Saccharomyces cerevisiae S288C: one gene and its partners. The gene in region 1 interacts genetically with each later gene. Each region holds a gene or a part of one and is shown in the gene's direction. Other genes may lie near its edges. The genes, in order: YAL064W, ASN1, DSF2 and MAL33.

The links.
Region 2: mutations in YAL064W (region 1) and ASN1 together harm fitness more than expected from each alone (negative genetic interaction), as found in Saccharomyces cerevisiae (one large-scale study listed by BioGRID).
Region 3: mutations in YAL064W (region 1) and DSF2 together harm fitness more than expected from each alone (negative genetic interaction), as found in Saccharomyces cerevisiae (one large-scale study listed by BioGRID).
Region 4: mutations in YAL064W (region 1) and MAL33 together harm fitness more than expected from each alone (negative genetic interaction), as found in Saccharomyces cerevisiae (one large-scale study listed by BioGRID).

What each region holds. Positions count from the first base shown.
Region 1 is NC_001133.9:19,467-23,226, forward strand, and holds YAL064W (uncharacterized protein), read left to right. Parts: upstream 1-2,099; coding exon 2,100-2,384; downstream 2,385-3,760. Other genes in the region: YAL063C-A (uncharacterized protein), read right to left, coding at 2,929-3,219.
Region 2 is NC_001148.4:819,852-825,084, forward strand, and holds ASN1 (asparagine synthase (glutamine-hydrolyzing) 1), read left to right. Parts: upstream 1-2,768; coding exon 2,769-4,487; downstream 4,488-5,233. Other genes in the region: ribosome biosynthesis protein NOC4, read right to left, coding at 1-1,572; YPR145C-A (uncharacterized protein), read right to left, coding at 4,839-5,075.
Region 3 is NC_001134.8:248,306-254,052, reverse strand, and holds DSF2 (Dsf2p), read left to right. Parts: upstream 1-3,036; coding exon 3,037-5,247; downstream 5,248-5,747. Other genes in the region: FLR1 (Flr1p), read left to right, coding at 1-1,490; UGA2 (succinate-semialdehyde dehydrogenase (NAD(P)(+))), read right to left, coding at 5,550-5,747.
Region 4 is NC_001134.8:798,078-803,142, forward strand, and holds MAL33 (transcription factor MAL33), read left to right. Parts: upstream 1-2,445; coding exon 2,446-3,852; downstream 3,853-5,065. Other genes in the region: PHO89 (Pho89p), read right to left, coding at 1-445; TYC1 (Tyc1p), read right to left, coding at 2,046-2,165; MAL31 (maltose permease), read right to left, coding at 4,554-5,065. UniProt on the Saccharomyces cerevisiae protein: Regulates the coordinate transcription of structural MAL3S (maltase) and MAL3T (maltose permease) genes.

The sequences.
Region 1 (3,760 bases):
AACAACCGGTAATATAGTCAGATGAGTCACTACGAGTGTGTGTAGTAGCAAGTGTTTTACCTACGTGGCAGTAAGAGTAGCTCTATGGTTGTGTAATAGTGGTGCTTATTCCTAATGCTCTGAAGTCTGAAGCGGTACAGTTGGTCTGGTCTATATCATGGTCAAAGGAGCAAACATATCTTCTGAAGTGACCGCAAATAGTACTATGATGTGGTTGGCAATATAACTTAAAAGGAAATAACCACAAGGAATTGCACCCATGTACACAGTTTTTCCCGGAAATTGGGAAACCAGTACGAACATATATCAATTACTTTTACATTATCTTGATTGGAAAACTGGCACAATTGACTGTGACGTTAGTAGTATGTTGTTCTTCTCTACATCAGTTAAATATACGTGTCAACATCAACTAATCAACTTTCCCCCGTTTACCACATTGAAGCTGGGTGTGGAAGATTTATTTGAAGAAACTAAAACGTACCCTGTCATTTCCTGAGTCCCCTTTCAACTTAGTGTGAAAGCCGAACAATTATAATCCTCGGTAGACAACAGATTTATTGTACTAAAGTTACTCTTCCTGTTATCTTCCTTGATTTTACTGTTATAGCAATGACCCACCGCAATCAGGAGAGCCGCCGTATGGAATAGCATACCAAGTCATAAAATCGTCAACCTATTAACGGGGTTCAGGTTCTTTTTCAGCGTAGTAGCCCTTTAACAAGCGCTGACAAAGTTGACACTCAGAGAAAATTCAGGATTTATTGTAATCCAGCTACTCATCCTTAGATCCGCTTGCAGGCATGGTTTTTTTCACCTTGAGAGGCTATTTTGGGTAAGCCAGGAAGGCTGAAAAATCCCAAAAGGACACAGTAATAAGAAATTGTTGTTGTTGTATGATGCATTTAGAACTCAAAAGACGAGTTTCTGAAAATGCTTACAATACTCCATAGGTAACATGATTTTTTTATTAAAAAAGTATACTGTTCCTTTGGGTAAAAATTATGCAACCCTTGAGTGTCCGATGAAGATAAGACTACGAAACAATTTGCGGTAAATTTTTTCTGCTATTGACATTTACACATGCTCCAATCCATTACCCTTTCCATTCTCGTAATAAAACCTCGAACTGTTATTTCATATTTACATCTAGACGGGTATCGGCCTCAACAACTCCAAACAAAAGTAAATAGAAAAGAGCCAGACCTATCGCACCGGGTAGAGCCAGAAAATATTTTAAACTATAGTTGACGTATTCTACGGCTGTTGTTTAGGACAATACTTTTTCCTTCACAGGCTTCGAATTACGCACATGCAGAACTCCTGTAGAAACCACGAAGAAAAGTTTAATTAACTTTCAAATGCCAGAACTAAAGATTGATGAAACAGTTATACGAATTTAAGGGGAACTTGCTTTTTCCTTTTGCTTCATCATAAGCGCAATATTCGCAGCGGTGGCGTCGCGTCTTACCATTTATCGGCACATTTTTCCGAAAAGGAAGGAAAATGGCGGTGTCAAACGGTCTGGTGTGACATCTAGAAGTTCGGCATTGCAAGTTAATCTACGGGAAAAAGAAAATTTTCTTATAACCCTAATGTATAATAAGGTTTTCGGAGAAAGCAACTCACGGGGAACAATTGGTTAGAAGAGACCGTAGAAGCGCCCCACTAACCTGGAGTTGATTATCGAGGATCTTTCTCAGAAAAGCAGCTAATAAATGAGCACAGTACTCAAAAATTACTCATAGTATTATAATTACTTACTTAGTCAATATGGCTGCGCTTTTAAAATGAGTATCTTTTATTTTTTGACAAGGAAGAAAAAGATGCAAGCAAAGAGAAATTTACTAAGTACAAGCTCATTTCCAAAAATTCAGTTTGCCTGTAACAATGGGTAGCGATCTTCAACATATGGGATTATGCCTTGAATGAGATTTTTGAACGTAGAGGAAAAAATCGCAGACAGGCTTTATTGTGCTGTTTGACATAGTATACTCAGCCGTTGTGGTGTTAATGAATACTATCGATGTGTATACAAACGTACTTCAAATAAGCAATGCGAATATACTGCAACTTTTCGGCCTTTGCAACGATTTGTAATGAATCCTTTTGCATCGCTAGAAGGACAAGATAATATTTCTTCTGTTTTTTTTTTACATATGCAACAATTTGAAAGTCAGGTCAAAGACAGATTCCGGTTCCCCATATTCAGATTGGAGAGAAAAACTTTTGGCAACTCATGTTACCAAGTCGAGACGCTTAAAGTTAAGTGTCGGCCAAGACACGCAAAATCTTGTAATCTTTTAACGCTGCTCTTCAAATCACGGACGCAATCAGTACTTGTACCTAATTTTGGTTTTCTAATATTGAATAGCGAACCATAGGTCGAAAATTTAAGGCCACATAAATCCAGAGCCCGCAACTTGGATAGGTATTTACTTGATTTTTAGTTTGCTTTCAATAGTGTCGTGAAATTATAAAGTACGCCGCATATATATCTTGATTAGTTAAAAATAGCAGTGTTCAATGATGATTTGATAGGGTTCATAACTGGTACCAGCGTAGTACAATTACGATTATCCATGAACATAAAAGTGGTTTAAGTACTATATATCAGTGAAGCTTCAAAGTAAGCAAACGAGATACCAAGATCTTGTAGGACCACGATATATAAGAAGCCTAGTTCCGTTGTAGCATCACATAGAAGAGAGCGACAATGCCTCAGAAATTCTACAGCAACAGAAAGCACAGTGAGTCATTAACTGTTGGAATAAGACTCAACTGCGAGCTATCGACTAGTACTTATATTACTAGTATATTATATACGGTGTGAAAAGACGACATGAAGATTGAGGAAATGGTCCCAAGATCTAATGGACACTGAAATGCAAAAGTTGATAATGTAACATGAAAATTAAGGACAGCATATTAAACAGAAGAGGAAATAATGGTATTTTTACATAGAGATATGAATTTCCCTTTTTCTTTGTTCCTATATCTCTGATAATAAGTTATAATATACTTTGTGCATCTTATATCATGCCTTTTCAACAATGAAATATCAGCAGTTATCAAAGCATTCGCCAAATTTTTATTAATAAAACAAATGTCAGAAATATGGCCGGAATCTAATCTGAAAGTTAAAATAATTCTTACGATATTCTTATCATAAAACCAATGATTAATGTTTATGATGAGCAAAACTGTGCGAGGGCACATACATACAGTGGGACCTCATGAGATCCAGAAAAAAAGCAAAGGAAAGTTCGATCGAAACATTAGCTCTTAGATATTACAGACGTGAGGTATCTCTTCCTTGAAGAGAATCTGGCCCTGATCAAAAACTTTATTTTGATACTGTTCGAAAAGAGAAATAAGGACAACGTTCTAATTTATACAAATATAACCAGTAGGCTTTATCGTAAAATCCTCGAACTTGCTTCTCATCACAGAAGTATAAAAAGTAAAGAGGTCAAGCAAGAAACGAATAACCACCAAATTTTTTTCAATTGAAAAGCGAAACGTAATGGAAATTCACCTGCTTTGAATCGTTGTTGAATTCTTATCATCAGTCATTATTTTCCTCTTTTAAAGCTTAAGTCAACCGCATCTAAGTTTAACACTTCGTTCCCGTTTTGAAGTTTATCAAAATTCCAAAATACAGTAGTTAGGTGCTCGTGACAAACCTTTTTCCAAAGTGTCATTAGACTTCATGGAACTACTACACTTCTGGGGAACGAAAAGCTACCATTTGCTCATC
Region 2 (5,233 bases), on another chromosome or scaffold:
CTCAAATTCTAACGTAGGAAGTGTCTTCAACTTTCTTGAAGATTCTGCATTGAGCAAAGAATCATAGTTCCAGTCTAAGAAATCTTCCATGTTATAACTTAGCTTCTTAAATGGTTGAGCAAATATCTTCGCCAACGTGGCTACATTAGGATGATAATGTTCCATCAATGACGCCAGCTCCCACAGAGAGGAATCCAGTGCATGAGTTAACTCAGGGTCCGATTCATGAACATCGAAGGGATCTACATAGTTTTCTTTCAGAGTTTTCAAGTTCGCCACTTGGTCAGGTGTCTGGAATGGGTTGGAAATGAAGGCTGGGTTGTGCAGCATAATCATACAATTCGGATGTTTCCTGATTAAATTATAGATGAAGGGAATCACGGTGACAATAGCAGAGGGTGGTGATTCTAGGGTGAGTCTGGCTAGCTTTTTGATGAAAGATGCTACTAAATGGGCGGATAAATGTGTTGATGACAAAAATACGTCCATTAACCTGAAAAATCTTGCTCTGTATTTAACATGCATTAAGTCTGGATTTATAATTTGATAAAGTTTCATATAAAAATTTGGATATTCCAAGTTGAATCTTTTCATCAATTCAAAAAGGCCATTCAGAGCCAAGATCGGAACAACACCGGCGTTTTTATTAGAGCTTTGCAAATTGTAGGAATCAGTAAGGAAATCCATTAGTTTAGTTGGAGTGTGGAAATGAGGTATTATTCTCTTATGCAAAATTAACAGAATAGACTTATACTGCTGTAAAGACAATTGGCCGTTTAAAAGGGATAACCAATTTTTCTCGAAATTGGACTTGAATTTGGACTCGTTCTCTATGGCTTGTGGGGGATTTGGTACAAAGATCTCTAAATCTGCATCAACACTAGAGCAATGTTTGTCATGATTTACTAAAGCTAACCATTTACCAACGTTTTTCAAAAGCAAGTCCTGGTAGGCTGGATCCTCTAATAGTTGGTTAAATTCTGATTGAAAGTAGTATTGAATATCTGCAAATTTCGTATAATATTTTTCCGTGAATTCTACTATGATTAAATTTTCAGACGCACCCGAGCTTTTGACATCCTCTATTTCACCCATGTTCGAGGACCATAGGGCGATGATTAACTTTCTGAATGTTTTATTGGGGAAAAATGGTGCGCCCTTTTCAGATGCAAAATGAGTTGATTCCAGCTCTGCAAGTTGAAGATAGACATCAAGCGAATCTAACCCAAGTGATGTTTCGAAAGGTATGTCCGAAATGATAGCTAACAGCTTCGTCTTGAACGCTTCATACACCTTTCTACACCAATTAACAAACTGTTCCTTCTCTAATGTGCTCTTTTTGGACGAAGGAAGGGTCAAGTCGCCGCGGGAAAACAGCTTTCTAAATATCTGGAATAGCGACATAACCAGAAATCTCAAATTTTTTTCTGTCTCATCTTCTTCCAATTGAGTAACATTTTCTGGAATCACTAGTTCATTGATTAACTTGATAATGGAGTTGTACTGCTTTCTGTCACCCGCAGCAGTCAGCCTCTTGGCAATATCTTTAATTTCTGATATAAGCAATACCATATTCTTTGACGTTTCTTTTTAATAGATCTCTCTTCATGGCAATAGAGGATGATAATTACATCTCATCTCATCTCATCAAAACCGTAATACACTTTTTTTTTTCTCAGTTGGAAAATTTTAGTGAAAAATTTCAAGAATAGCCCTAAACCTTCAAATACGAGGATTACCCGTAGAGAAGTGCTGAAAAACTTTTTTCTTTTTCTTTTTTTTCGATTTTCATTTAACAGGTATAAAAAGCGAAACACTCGGTACATATATTTTACCAAGACGCGTTAGATTTTCTTTGGAGGTTTCATTTAAAGAAACCAATGACCTTCCAAGTTTTTAAAAGAATACGATGATATTATTTGCGTTTCAAATCGAACAATTCTTCTCGGAGCGATCTGAGGTTTTAATGGAGATAGCGGTTCCTGCGCAACCCATTGATCTTGTTACATTCTTAAGAATGACAAGGACGCTTTTATAAAATTCTGATTCTTTTTTCTTTCATTCTTTTGTTGTTTTTGACTTGGGAGTAGTCATCTCATCTGTACACAAGTAGCTTTTTATATGTTCTTAAATTGTAGACTAGTCAAAACTTGTGTCCTTTAAACCGTGCCGAAACAGTTTTAAAGCGGACATCCAGGGAAACTTGCCGTTAACAATAAGTGACCTTGCATGGAAGACTGTCGATTGGTCTCTGTGGAAACCAGTGCATATCTAAATTAAATCTATTGTCATCACGAATGCCGCCCGTGTTCGTGCAACGTGAGCGCAAATACGCCTGGGGTCTGTCTTTCTGCGCTGGAAAGCACCTTCGGGCATCAACTACCGTTTCTTATCGCTGGCACTATCTATCCACCAATCACACGGCAGCAGTACTGCTGCCGTGGACGGCAAATTAGGTACAGGGCCTATGACTGTTATCATTTGGCAGGCTCAGACAGAGAGAGAGAGCACAAGGAAAAGAGCCTTAACTCATGTAACATTTGACTCATTCTGTAAACTGAAAATTTGCTGCCCACTCGAGATGACAAATAGTTCGTTCTTGAATTTATGCGCATTTATAGATACGCATATATAACCCTATAGTGAACGCCACTAGGAGACAGATTCTGTTTGGACCCTGATCGCATACTCTTCTTACCTTTACATAATAAAATAAGAAAAAGTATAACTTGCTTTACGCTAAGGATATAAATCGGACGTAACTTAAGATGTGTGGTATTTTCGCCGCTTTCAGGCACGAAGACGTGCATAGATATAAGCCAAAGGCTCTACAACTATCAAAAAGAATCAGACACCGTGGTCCAGATTGGTCCGGTAATGCTATCAAGAACTCCACTATATTTGTTCATGAAAGACTAGCCATTGTCGGTGTGGAATCCGGTGCTCAACCAATTACTTCTTCAGACGGAGAGTACATGCTATGTGTTAACGGTGAAATCTACAACCACATTCAATTAAGAGAAGAATGCGCAGACTACGAGTTTGGAACACTGAGTGACTGTGAGCCTATCATCCCAATGTACTTAAAGCACGATATCGACGCTCCTAAGTACTTGGATGGTATGTTTGCTTGGACTCTTTACGACGCTAAACAAGATCGTATTGTGGCAGCCAGAGACCCAATCGGTATTACGACATTATATATGGGACGCTCTTCCGCTTCTCCAAAGACCGTTTATTTTGCATCCGAACTAAAATGTTTGACTGACGACTGTGACACTATCACTGCATTCCCACCGGGCCACGTATACGATTCTAAGACTGACAAGATCACCCGTTACTTCACACCAGATTGGCTGGACGAAAAACGCATTCCTTCCACCCCAATAGATTACATGGCAATTAGACACTCCTTAGAAAAAGCCGTTAGAAAGAGATTAATGGCCGAAGTCCCATACGGTGTTCTATTGTCGGGTGGTTTGGACTCCTCTTTAATCGCTTCCATTGCTGCCCGTGAAACTGCAAAGGCCACTAACGATGTCGAACCATCAACTTACGATAGTAAGGCAAGACATCTAGCAGGTATCGACGATGACGGTAAGCTACACACTGCTGGTTGGACAAGTCTCCATTCCTTTGCCATCGGTTTACCAAATGCTCCAGATTTGCAAGCCGCAAGAAAGGTTGCCAAATTCATCGGCTCTATTCATCATGAACACACCTTTACATTACAAGAAGGTTTGGATGCTTTGGACGACGTGATCTACCATTTGGAAACTTACGACGTTACCACTATCAGAGCTTCCACTCCAATGTTCTTACTATCCAGAAAGATTAAGGCCCAAGGGGTCAAGATGGTTCTTTCCGGTGAAGGTTCCGATGAAATCTTCGGTGGTTATCTATATTTCGCACAAGCTCCTTCTGCGGCAGAATTTCACACTGAATCCGTGCAACGTGTCAAGAACTTGCATTTGGCAGATTGTTTGAGAGCTAACAAGTCTACGATGGCTTGGGGTCTAGAAGCTCGTGTTCCATTCTTAGACAGAGAATTTTTGCAATTGTGTATGAACATCGATCCAAATGAAAAGATGATTAAACCAAAGGAAGGACGTATTGAAAAGTACATTCTAAGGAAGGCATTCGACACCACAGGAGAACCAGATGCTAAGCCATATTTACCAGAAGAAATTTTATGGAGACAAAAAGAACAATTTTCCGACGGTGTTGGTTACTCCTGGATCGACGGATTAAAAGATACCGCCGAAGCAGTCATTTCAGATGAAATGTTTGCCAGTCCAAAGGCCGAATGGGGTAGTGACATTCCAACCACAAAAGAGGCTTTCTGGTACAGACTAAAATTCGATGCTTTGTTCCCTCAAAAGACCGTGGCTGACACCGTTATGAGATGGATTCCAAAGGCCGACTGGGGTTGTGCTGAAGATCCTTCTGGTAGATATGCCCAAATTCATGAAAAACATATCGAATAAATAACATTAAAAAATAGAAAAAGAATTATGGATTAATCTTATAGATATTTTTATAGAAAAACAAACACTAACAATAATAATAATAATAAATAGAATATAGAAATACATATTTTTCATAATAGTTTGATGAAGTTTTATTCATAAATCATTTTTTATCGCCAGTGCTAAAAAATTAAGTGTGTGGATGACTGTATATATGCGTATCGAACGATCTTGATGCAAATCATTTTGAAACATTATTCTTGACTTTGATATTTCCTATTATACATCCTCCTTCCTTGAGACCCAATAATCTTAAAAATGATGGAGACAGTGCATGCCCTCCTTTTCACCCTTCTTTTATGTCGTTTCTTACAATTTTCGAGATTCTTTTGAATCTGATCTCCTTTTACCTTGTGACTGAAGATTCCTAATCGAATTGCTCCTCTCTAGCGACGCCCTTTGTTTCATTTCGTGTGCAATTAGTAGATCGTGCCTTGTTATTACTGTATTCTTATTTCTTGATTTAATTTCCGCTCGATAGTTTTGCGGATATTGACTATCACTTTTCTTAAATATTAGTTTTATTTTTCTGAAGGCAGTGCTCATATGTAAAGTAGTAACGTTGTTAGTGCAGTGTTAGCAGTCAAACCTAAAAATAAAAGTATAAAAAAACTATATCTATTTTTTTTTTGTTTGTTTACGCACGTTTATATATTTAACACGGTGAAGTAGTCCTGCCATTATGCTGCTCTAACACAAGAGTC
Region 3 (5,747 bases), on another chromosome or scaffold:
TAGAATGCGGTCCTAATAGATCGTGCTCTGAATCCTCTACCGATTCAGACTCTAGTGGTTCACAGATCGAAAAAAATGATCCTTTCAGGGTGGATTGGAACGGCCCCAGTGATCCTGAGAACCCACAAAACTGGCCCCTACTGAAAAAATCATTGGTAGTATTCCAAATAATGTTACTTACTTGCGTCACGTACATGGGATCCTCCATTTACACACCTGGCCAGGAATATATTCAAGAAGAGTTCCACGTTGGTCATGTAGTGGCAACATTAAATCTTTCTTTATATGTTCTTGGTTATGGTCTAGGTCCCATCATTTTTTCACCGCTATCAGAAACTGCACGCTATGGCCGTCTAAATCTGTACATGGTGACTTTATTTTTTTTCATGATCTTTCAAGTTGGTTGTGCTACTGTGCATAACATCGGCGGTTTAATCGTCATGCGTTTCATCAGTGGCATACTGTGCAGCCCATCGTTGGCCACTGGTGGCGGTACAGTGGCTGATATCATTTCACCAGAAATGGTTCCTCTCGTTTTAGGTATGTGGTCAGCCGGTGCTGTTGCTGCGCCAGTCTTGGCTCCCTTACTAGGCGCTGCTATGGTCGATGCTAAAAATTGGCGATTCATATTTTGGTTATTAATGTGGTTAAGTGCTGCCACTTTTATCTTGTTGGCATTTTTCTTCCCTGAAACACAACACCATAATATTTTGTACCGCCGTGCTTTGAAATTGAGAAAAGAAACTGGTGATGACAGGTACTATACTGAACAGGATAAACTCGATAGAGAAGTTGATGCAAGAACTTTTTTGATCAATACTTTGTATAGGCCTCTCAAAATGATTATCAAAGAGCCTGCAATTTTGGCTTTTGATCTCTATATCGCTGTTGCTTATGGTTGTTTCTACTTATTCTTTGAAGCATTCCCTATTGTATTTGTAGGTATATACCACTTCAGCTTAGTTGAAGTTGGCTTGGCCTATATGGGGTTTTGCGTAGGGTGCGTACTTGCTTATGGCTTATTCGGTATTTTAAACATGAGGATTATTGTACCACGTTTTAGAAACGGCACATTCACCCCGGAAGCTTTTTTAATCGTGGCAATGTGTGTCTGCTGGTGCCTGCCTCTGTCTTTGTTCTTATTTGGTTGGACTGCTCGAGTGCATTGGATTTTGCCAGTTATCTCGGAAGTTTTTTTTGTTTTAGCTGTCTTTAACATTTTCCAAGCAACTTTTGCATATTTGGCTACATGCTACCCAAAGTATGTTGCATCCGTTTTTGCAGGCAATGGTTTTTGTCGGGCTTCGTTTGCCTGTGCTTTTCCGTTGTTTGGTAGAGCAATGTATGACAATTTAGCTACTAAGAACTATCCTGTGGCATGGGGTTCGTCCTTAGTGGGGTTCCTAACTTTAGGTCTAGCTATTATCCCGTTTATACTTTATAAGTATGGGCCATCATTACGTACAAGATCTTCGTACACAGAGGAGTAGAAAGCCGATGTTCTTACCATGAAAATTTGAATTATAATAACACAATTTTACTTATCGTCCATCTGTCGACAAAGATGTTCCACATAAGTTTACGTAAAGTTTAGCAGTGAAATAAATACTGTTCATAATGAACTTCATTGTTTATAAAAGTTGTTGTTGCAAGTATTCTCATGTTTATTTATCGCAGACTTGAAATCTTTGAAGGAAGATCTAAGGTCTACACACTATCGGTTACTTTGTGACCCTTTGCTTACCATACGGATGAAAAAAGAAAGAGGAATTACTTGAGCCACAATATCCTTCACTCATATTTGAAAATAGTACTTACTAAAGAAATATGCAACCATTTATACACGTAAGAAGTTCAATTATCAAATAGAAATTAAGCAAAATACTCAATTGAATACAGAGCAAAAGGATTAGCCATACGTTCTAGCACATTTTATGGGCCTAAGACATCATTTCCAGTTAACAGATAATATATTTCTACATAAAAACTTGGCTGTTCCACTGTCAAAGCCAAAAAGAGTCATTTGGTCATGAGAGTAGCTATGTTTCTACGACGAATCGAAAAAAAATGCATACTATTGATATCAAAATCATGCAGAAGGAACACATATTCATATATAACTAATCAGAGGATAAATCCTCTTGCGAATAAAAAGTTTGCGATGTTCTGATGCTTCAGGATTTCCTCTTAATAAATTCATATTTGAAGAGCCAAAGAACCAAAAGAATTGTACAAATTTTCTTCATCTATGAGAGGCCTAAAGGTTCGGGTTTGCTGCTATGTATCCTTGCTAAATTTTGATTATATTATGGCATTTATCGCTATTGCGTTTGCTTGCTGTTGCGCAAAAAATAATACAAAATACCTGATAATGTAAACAACGTAAATAATACAGGAAGTGATGCAAGAGAAGCTGCACAAAACTGCAGCATGCCTCACTTCGAAAAAAAAAAAAAAAAGAAGGAAGTCAGAAGAAGCAAGCCGATCTAAGACAGCTATTACCTCTAACAAGTAAGTCATAGATCAGAACGGCAATACCAGCCAGTGTACAATACAGCTGCATTACAACATAGCGTTTCTTGAACTTTTAGGTGACTGCTGGAAAAAATGAACGCGTCTCATATCGTGTGCGATGGCAACACCGGATCCCTGCGCTCAGAACATTCCGTGGACACCCACTGTCACTTCTTCGAGCCCCACCATTCCTTTACGCAGCCTGCGTGTGTTTCTGCGCGTTAAAACAATTATCACAGAAGGCTCCGGACGAAGAGCGGCAGAAAGAACAACGGTGCAACCGTCGTTGAATTTGATTATCAAATCACCTTATCTGCCATCGTGTTCTAGTAGTCTTCCATTGTATTACCACGGACATTCAAAAATAGTTCTTCTTTAGCAACTCTTTTTTTCTGTTGCCATTGCTCTTTGCGATAGCACATTCTGTTCCTCAATGCTAAATATAGGTGGAACTTGTAGGAGCCTCGAGAAAAAACAGAAAATCTAGAAAAACAAACGGACTTTTACGTCACACGAAAAGTAATGAATCAAAATTTAAAAAACACTTCTTGGGCTGATCGAATAGGAAGCGACGATCAAGAAAGAAAAGCTAACTCTTCAGAGGTTTCACAAAGCCCACCACCCAATAATAGCTTCGAGTCATCAATGGATTCACAATTTAGCTATGCTCATTCAAATAAAAGTAGCATTTCATTCGAATCTATTCAAACCACGGAAAGACTTCTTGACAAATTAGACCTCAGCTTGGAAGATGAACTGATTCTGCAAGAAGCTTTATTAGAAGAAGAAAACGCGTCGAGAAATTCGCAACTGTCACAAACAAGTGGTCCAACATTATGTATGCCTGCGTCGGAATTCCCTTCATTAAGGTATAGAACTAATCCCTCTCCAACATATATACAAGCTAGAGATCGTTCTCTTATCATAGACAATTTAAAAGAAAAGGATTCCACTTTGAGAGGCAAATACTCTTCCGGTAAAGTGGAAAGGCATTTGCCCGTGAAGTCGAGATACTCTTATATCGTCGAAGAAGATTATGACTCTGAGACTTTTAGTGGCATGAAACCCCAAATGAATAGAAATGAGAAAGATTATAAGTACCCAAACCTTGAAAATGGCAATAGAAGCACAAATAGCCCTAATCCTTTCAACTTCGAGAAATATAGGATTGAAAATACTAGACTGCACCATCTTTATCCTACGCTGATATCAGACAATAATACTAGCGTTGACAATAATGCTAATAGTAAGAATAACAGAACTACTAGTAATAATATTAATACATCTACAAAAACTGACAGAATATCCGAGAAGCAGAGTTGCCCCAATGAGTTCACAACCACGCAAAAGAGTAATTGTCTTTATCGGAACGGAAGTTCAACAAGCACCAACACCTCCTTTTCTGAAGTTGGACAACTATCAAAGCCGAAAACTCAGTCTTCTTTTGAAAGTGAATCATCCTCATTCTCCAAACTCAAGTTAACTAAGAGTGATACAACACCCATCAAACCATCTCCTAAACGGTCTAATTCCTCTACCTCGACGATAACGAAAACAAATACCATGACAAATGATATTTCATTACCTCCAACGCCACCATATAAAGCTCATAAAAAAAAAACGTCACTAAATTCGCTAAAAAAACTTTTTAAATCTCCTAGGACAAGAGCAAAAAATAAGAAAGACCTTGAGTCTGAAGGATCAAGCCCTATCCGGTCTGCCACCAATTCATTGGACTTCTCTGGGGAGAATATTCAACTTCCATCTACTTCAAGTACCATTAATAATTCCAGTCCACATTTAGCTAGGTATATTTTTCCTCCAAACCCAGTTTTCCATTTTAAAACAGCATCAACACCTCAGTCATCCACGGATAAAAAAAAGAACAGTAAAGCACGTCCAAATAGGACTCATTTGAGAACTTTCTCGGATTTCCATACAACGGAAAAAGATTCAAAAATAGGTGAACTAAGTGCACTAACAGAACAATCAAATAAGCCCTACCACCCGAAAGTTAGAAGAAGAACACTTTCTTTAGATGGTATGTTGCCCAATAATTCGACGCAATGCATGGATTCCTTCAGTCATAAAAAAGAAGGATCGAACGCAACAAGCAAGTGCGGGAAGCTTAAATTTCACCCAGAACCTTATGATAATGATGAATCTTCACACATCGGACAGGCAATTACTATGCGTCATCAAGGCAAACTTGAAGAATCTGCACAACGACTGAAAAAAGCCTGCGCGTGCGGAAACAAAACTGCGTTTCTGTTATATGGACTAGCCCTGCGACATGGCTGCGGAGTGGACAAGAACTTGAAATTATCATTAGGATATTTAATGGCTGCCACTGATATCAAATCCTTTGCTGCTGAGGTTCTTGATTTAGATATAAATCCGTTAAATTTTGCTTCAATGGACGATATCCCTGATATAGCGCCTGAACCAACAGCACCTGCCTTGTACGAATGTGGTATGGCATATTTAAAGGGTCTTGGGATGGATCATCCCGACGAGCGAAAAGGTTTGAAATTTTTGGAAAAAGCTGCTCTATTAGGCCATGTAGACTCAATGTGCTTAAGCGGGACAATTTGGTCCAAAACTTCAAACGTAAAGAAAAGGGATCTCGCCAGAGCTGCTGCATGGTTTAGGATAGCCGATAAAAAAGGTGCAAATCTATTAGGTTCAGATTGGATTTATAAGGAAAAGTACATGAAACAAGGTCCGAAATAAAGATAAAGAAACGTTGTATACATAAAAGCTTACAGAAAGGCTTAAAAGGAAAGGCATTTATTTTCGTACCATATATCTCACAAAAATAGATAGATAGATAGATATGATATTTTATGAATGGTATCACTTATTCCGCTTGTGAAAAACTTCAAAACTCCGTAAATATATGAACTCTTTTCTTTCAAAAAATTTACTTAACTTTCTATATACGAGGAGTAGAGTATTTATACATGCAATAGATATATACAATCATTACAAAGAATCATATTCAATTCTAAGTATCGTCCACGATTACTATTGCTTTAAATGCTGTTTGGCAAATTCCCAATTGTGATGGTCTTCAAAACAGTGTAATCTTCAATACCATATAGCGAACCTTCTCTTCCAAATCCTGACTCTTTAACACCACCAAATGGTATAGAACAATCCGAAAAAACACCTGTATTACATGAAACCATACCAGTTTCCAAAGCTTCAGACACAGTGTATAAAGTGTTGAC
Region 4 (5,065 bases), on another chromosome or scaffold:
ATGACGCAATAATTTGAGAAACACCACTCCAACCCCAAACGACACCGTTAGCTCCACCGGCTGCAATCCCAGCGCCAATTGTACCACCAACAATGGAATGTGTAGTAGAAACTGGCATTCCGATTGCAGTAGCAAATGTTAACCAACAAGACGAGCCAATCAAAGCACTGGTCATAGTAAGCATTAAAACAGCGGGGTCGTTGGTAAAAATGGAGGAATCTATAATGTTGTTCTTGATAGTACCAGAAACTCTTGCGCCTGCCAAGACAGCACCCAAGAACTCACAGAGACCCGCCAAAACCATGGCTTGCCAGTATTTTAGAGATCTAGAAGAGATCGACGACGCGAATGAGTTCGCCACGTCGTTTGCCCCGATGTTAAAGGCATCCAAAAATGCAAATAACATGGCAATGGCAAAAATATAGTCAAATTGATGTAAAGCCATTTTTGCTTAATCTTTGTTTATATTGATTCGATTAGATACGCTCCAGTATTCTCACCTTTGATCTATGTCACTCATTCTATGACAATTCATGTAAAATAACCTCAATGTAAAGATCATCTTCAGCAGGTTTATATATAATTTTCTTCATATCGAAAACCGGGCTTAGTGACATGAATTGTTTGGAGATGTCCACCCAGTAGACATTGTAAAAAAAATCTGCTATTGACTGAGTTAATCTAATGATTTACATAATAGAAGGATCCAAAGTGGCTGTGACATCTAGTATTGATAGATTAGTATTATTACTATTTGTCTCCCACGTGCTGCATTGTCATATGCAATTTATTAAGATTACATAAACTCCTTTGTACGGTATATTCTTAAAGCCTTTCAATGACTCGGGCCAATTTTTAGCAATATTTCGACATTTAAGGGCCCACTAACAAATTAATGGCACAACGTGGGGATGACGAAAAAGCAGAAAAAGAAAAAAAAGGTCTATCGCACAGCCACACACCCTTGTGGTGAAGCCGTTTTGTGATCGGTGTGGCGCGATCTGTGAAATTTAAACTTTTTTGCGGGTGAAACCGAGATTTCTGAAACTAGATTTTCTGGCTTCGCCAAAGAAAGATGCATCGAATTAATGAAATTAAACGGATGTAAGGAATGAAATTATAACGATTCCGCTAATGTTCTTTACTGACGAGTGTCACTGAAGTACTTACTCGTGAACAAAAATTAACCTATATCAGTAATTTTGATATTGTTAAAAGTAGGTATCTCTATCAAAAGAGATTATAAGACCCATCGGCAAAACTCGAAATATCGTCTTGAGAAAATCATTATACAGTACATGGTGCAATTTTAAATGATTTTTAAATACTATTATATAATCGATACATTTAGTACACGCGAAGACAACGTAGTGTTGAGATTCAAAGAGGTTACAGTTGAATACGTGACAAAGCTGACGAGAGTACTGTGAATTCAACAAACCATAAATGGTCACTCCAAGTAACGGTATTGTGATTTCAACAGAAAACACAAGCATTGTGTTAGCGTGCTCGTAAAATATTATTTCAGCGGTGAAGCAGATATGCGTTAAAGGTGGGCTCGCTATTAAATCATGAACGAAAAAACAGTTATGTCGTTACTGGTGTGAGTCGATATTACGAAACCACTGGCAGGTAGATGGATAGAATGGGACTGATTGGAACAGCGCAAGTTTTTTTCCGTGGTCGGAATTCTCGTAGTAATATTGGAAAATAGTTGGAAGAAAAATTGTGTGAAAAAATACATGCTGAAATAGTCAAACGAAGAGAGGTGAAGAATAGATAAAGCTGTTGAGAGGCAAGACAATGTTTTCAAGATGATCAGAAAAGGATACGGTCCAATATCTATTTATATTCATTGCCCTACCGTGGTATGTTAAAAAAATATGTTACATTTATTGCTCCCATTGGATTTTGCACAGGTGTGAAAGAGCTCAGTTGTCAAGATTTAGTCATTAAGAAGGGCCGCAGCAGCTTTTTGTATAATAGAGCGTCTTTTTTGTTTGTGAAAAAAATTTTATGGTGAGATATTGTTCGATTCTACGAAGTCATTTTACTAGTTTATGGACTCTGATATAAGACAGAGTTGACAAGGAAATGGTGCCGTGATTGTTTCCGTGTACAGCTTTTGAGAACTTCCTTGAAAACCAATCATCTAGCACTTTCATTTCTGGGGAAAAACCTGGAACCAAATCTTGAAAAATAAATTCCCCAGAAGTTTTCCTTATTCCGTGTTCTAATCTTCTCGTTCACTTTGCAGTGACATTCCACGGCCATGCGCAATTTACCCCGCCCCCGGATTTTATTGTCCGTACCGCCATTTTTCAATAGATTAAAAAGGAACAAAAAATCATTTCAGAAGGTTTCTTTCTCGGGAAAACACTAGAGTGTAAATATTGAATATCAAACATCGAACGAGAGCATCTTGAAGATATTTATGTTCTAAATATGACTTTAGTCAAGTATGCATGCGACTATTGTCGTGTCCGTCGAGTAAAGTGTGATGGTAAAAAACCATGTAGTCGCTGTATTGAGCACAATTTCGATTGCACATATCAGCAACCATTAAAAAAAAGAGGCTCAAAGCCTATTGGAACTAGAAGCTTAAAGTATATACCAAAGGCCAAAATGTTTATAGATAATAAAAGTTGTACGGCAGCGGCAGAAATATTAATGAAGGTTCCTAAAAAGGTGATTGATCAGTGTTTGAGGCTTTATCACGACAATCTATATGTTATCTGGCCTTTACTCTCTTATGATGACCTTCACAAGCTTTTGGACGAAGAATACAATGACCATTACGTTTATTGGTTTCTCGTAGCTCTTTCAGCAGCCAATCTTAGCGATCTACAAAGCGAATTAGAATCTGAGGGGGGATTTTCGTTTACTGGAAAACAATTAGCCGTTCTCTGTATGTCCTCACGCCAACAATTTGATGACCTTAGCGGCAGAGACATTTTCCGAATTATGACATATTATTGCTTGCTACGTTGTTTTTCACAGTCTTCTGATGTAAGAAATTCATACAGACTTTGTCGTGAAGCTATTGGCCTTGTTATTGTAGCAGGGTTACATCGTGAAAAAGCATACGAATCACTATCATTTCGTGAGCAACAGCTTTTACGCAAGGTGTATTATTTGCTTCTCTTGACGGAAAGATACTATTCCGTATATGTTCATTGTGTTACAAGTTTGGATACCACAATAGCTCCACCTCAGCCAGAGTTCGTAACGGACCCTCGACTTTCTTTGGATAGCTTTTTTGAGATGATTAGAGTATTTACTGTACCAGGTAAATGCTTTTTTGATGCTTTGGCTACGGAGTCTACTAGCGGTTCTTGCACTGAAGACTCACTGAAAAAAATATGGAAAGAGCTTCACACAGCATCCCTTGAAATAGAACCATGGTCTTATGGCTATGTGGACATTTCATTTTCTCGACATTGGATTAGGGCGCTGGCTTGGAAGCTAGTGTTTCAGATGAATGGTACCAAGTTTTTCTCAAACGCCAATAATGCTCACATATTGGTCGAAATTGCAAAGGATATGCTGGACGACATATTCTTAACTCCAAACAACCTGTATGATGTACATGGTCCTGGAATACCAATGAAATCATTGGAAGTAGCCAATGCATTGGTAGATATCGTAAATAAGTATGATCACAATATGAAGTTGGAGGCTTGGAATATTTTGTGCGATGTATCCAAGTTCGTTTTCTCCCTGAAACATTGCAATCATAAAATGTTTCAAAGGTTTTCAACTAAATGTCAGAGTGCTCTAATCGATTTGCCTATCTCTAGACCACTGCGCCTAAATGATGATTCCAAAGATGAAGACGACATAATTCCTTAATTTATTGTTCACGCCGTTCACTTATACGAGATAGATATACTGATAGAGTGTGAGTGATATTCTTAAGTCTTGCTTTTCGAGGGTGTAAGAAGCTATGTTCTTCAGGCGAGATTATTCTACTCCTGCCTTACTTGTTTGTAATATTTAGTTCTGATGGTCATGATAATTCTATATACAGTTACATTAAGTATATACTTAAGCGGGCAGCTTACTAATATAAATTTTGTGGCATTTTTGTTGGGATATGAGAATCATGTATCGTTGATTTACAAAGCGAATTTACGTTACCAGGAATAGGGAATACTCTCTTGAATTCTAACATAAGCACAGAAATGCTGAAAGAATACGTCAAAAAGTAAATTTACAGAATTAAAAAAAAAATAATTGTTGCCGGAACATGAATAGAGTGTATCAATATACAATATAAAAATTCAAGCATTTTCATTAACGGGAATGAAAAAATTGTATATTAGTACTTCTTTTTGCAAGATATTTAAATCTAGGACCCTCATCACAATGATTCATTTAAATCATTAACGTTTTTTCAGAACAAAATAATAACCTCTAGTTGAAAAAACTTCAAAGCCGCAACAAAACCAAAAAAAAGTCATAATGTCGAGTAAAAATAAACTCGATGTGTTAAGTACTAGTTATATAAAATAAAATTAAATAACGCCGTATCTACCTACTGGCTAAAAAAATCATTTGTTCACAACAGATGAGGTGTTTCGCCCTTCATCTACCACAGAAGTTTCCAAATCTTCCTTCGGATCTTTAACATTAATTTCTGCAGCTGCTGCTTTGGCAGCTGCAAAAGGGTCGACTTTAGTCGACTTGAACTTTCTTGCTGGAACACCAAGTCTAAACAATTCATTTATCTCAATAAAAGTCCTGCCAGCGGTTTCTGGTAAATCGACAACAGCCCAAGCTAAAGTGGCCAGACAAAATCCTCCCCAGAAAAAGCCTGATTTAGCACCCCAATTCCATTTCTCTGAGTTCAATTGGTACATGATCAAAACTGTAACTACAACTTGGATCACATTGTAAGCATTACGAGCCAAAATAATTGTTTTGGTTCTTAGCCTTGAAGACGGTATTTCAGACACTAAGCAAAAAACAACAGGTGCAATACCGAGGTTGTAAAAGAACGCGACAACCATTAGAAGAGCACCACTACCCATTTTAGCGCCATGAGTGTCTGAACATCCTAAAC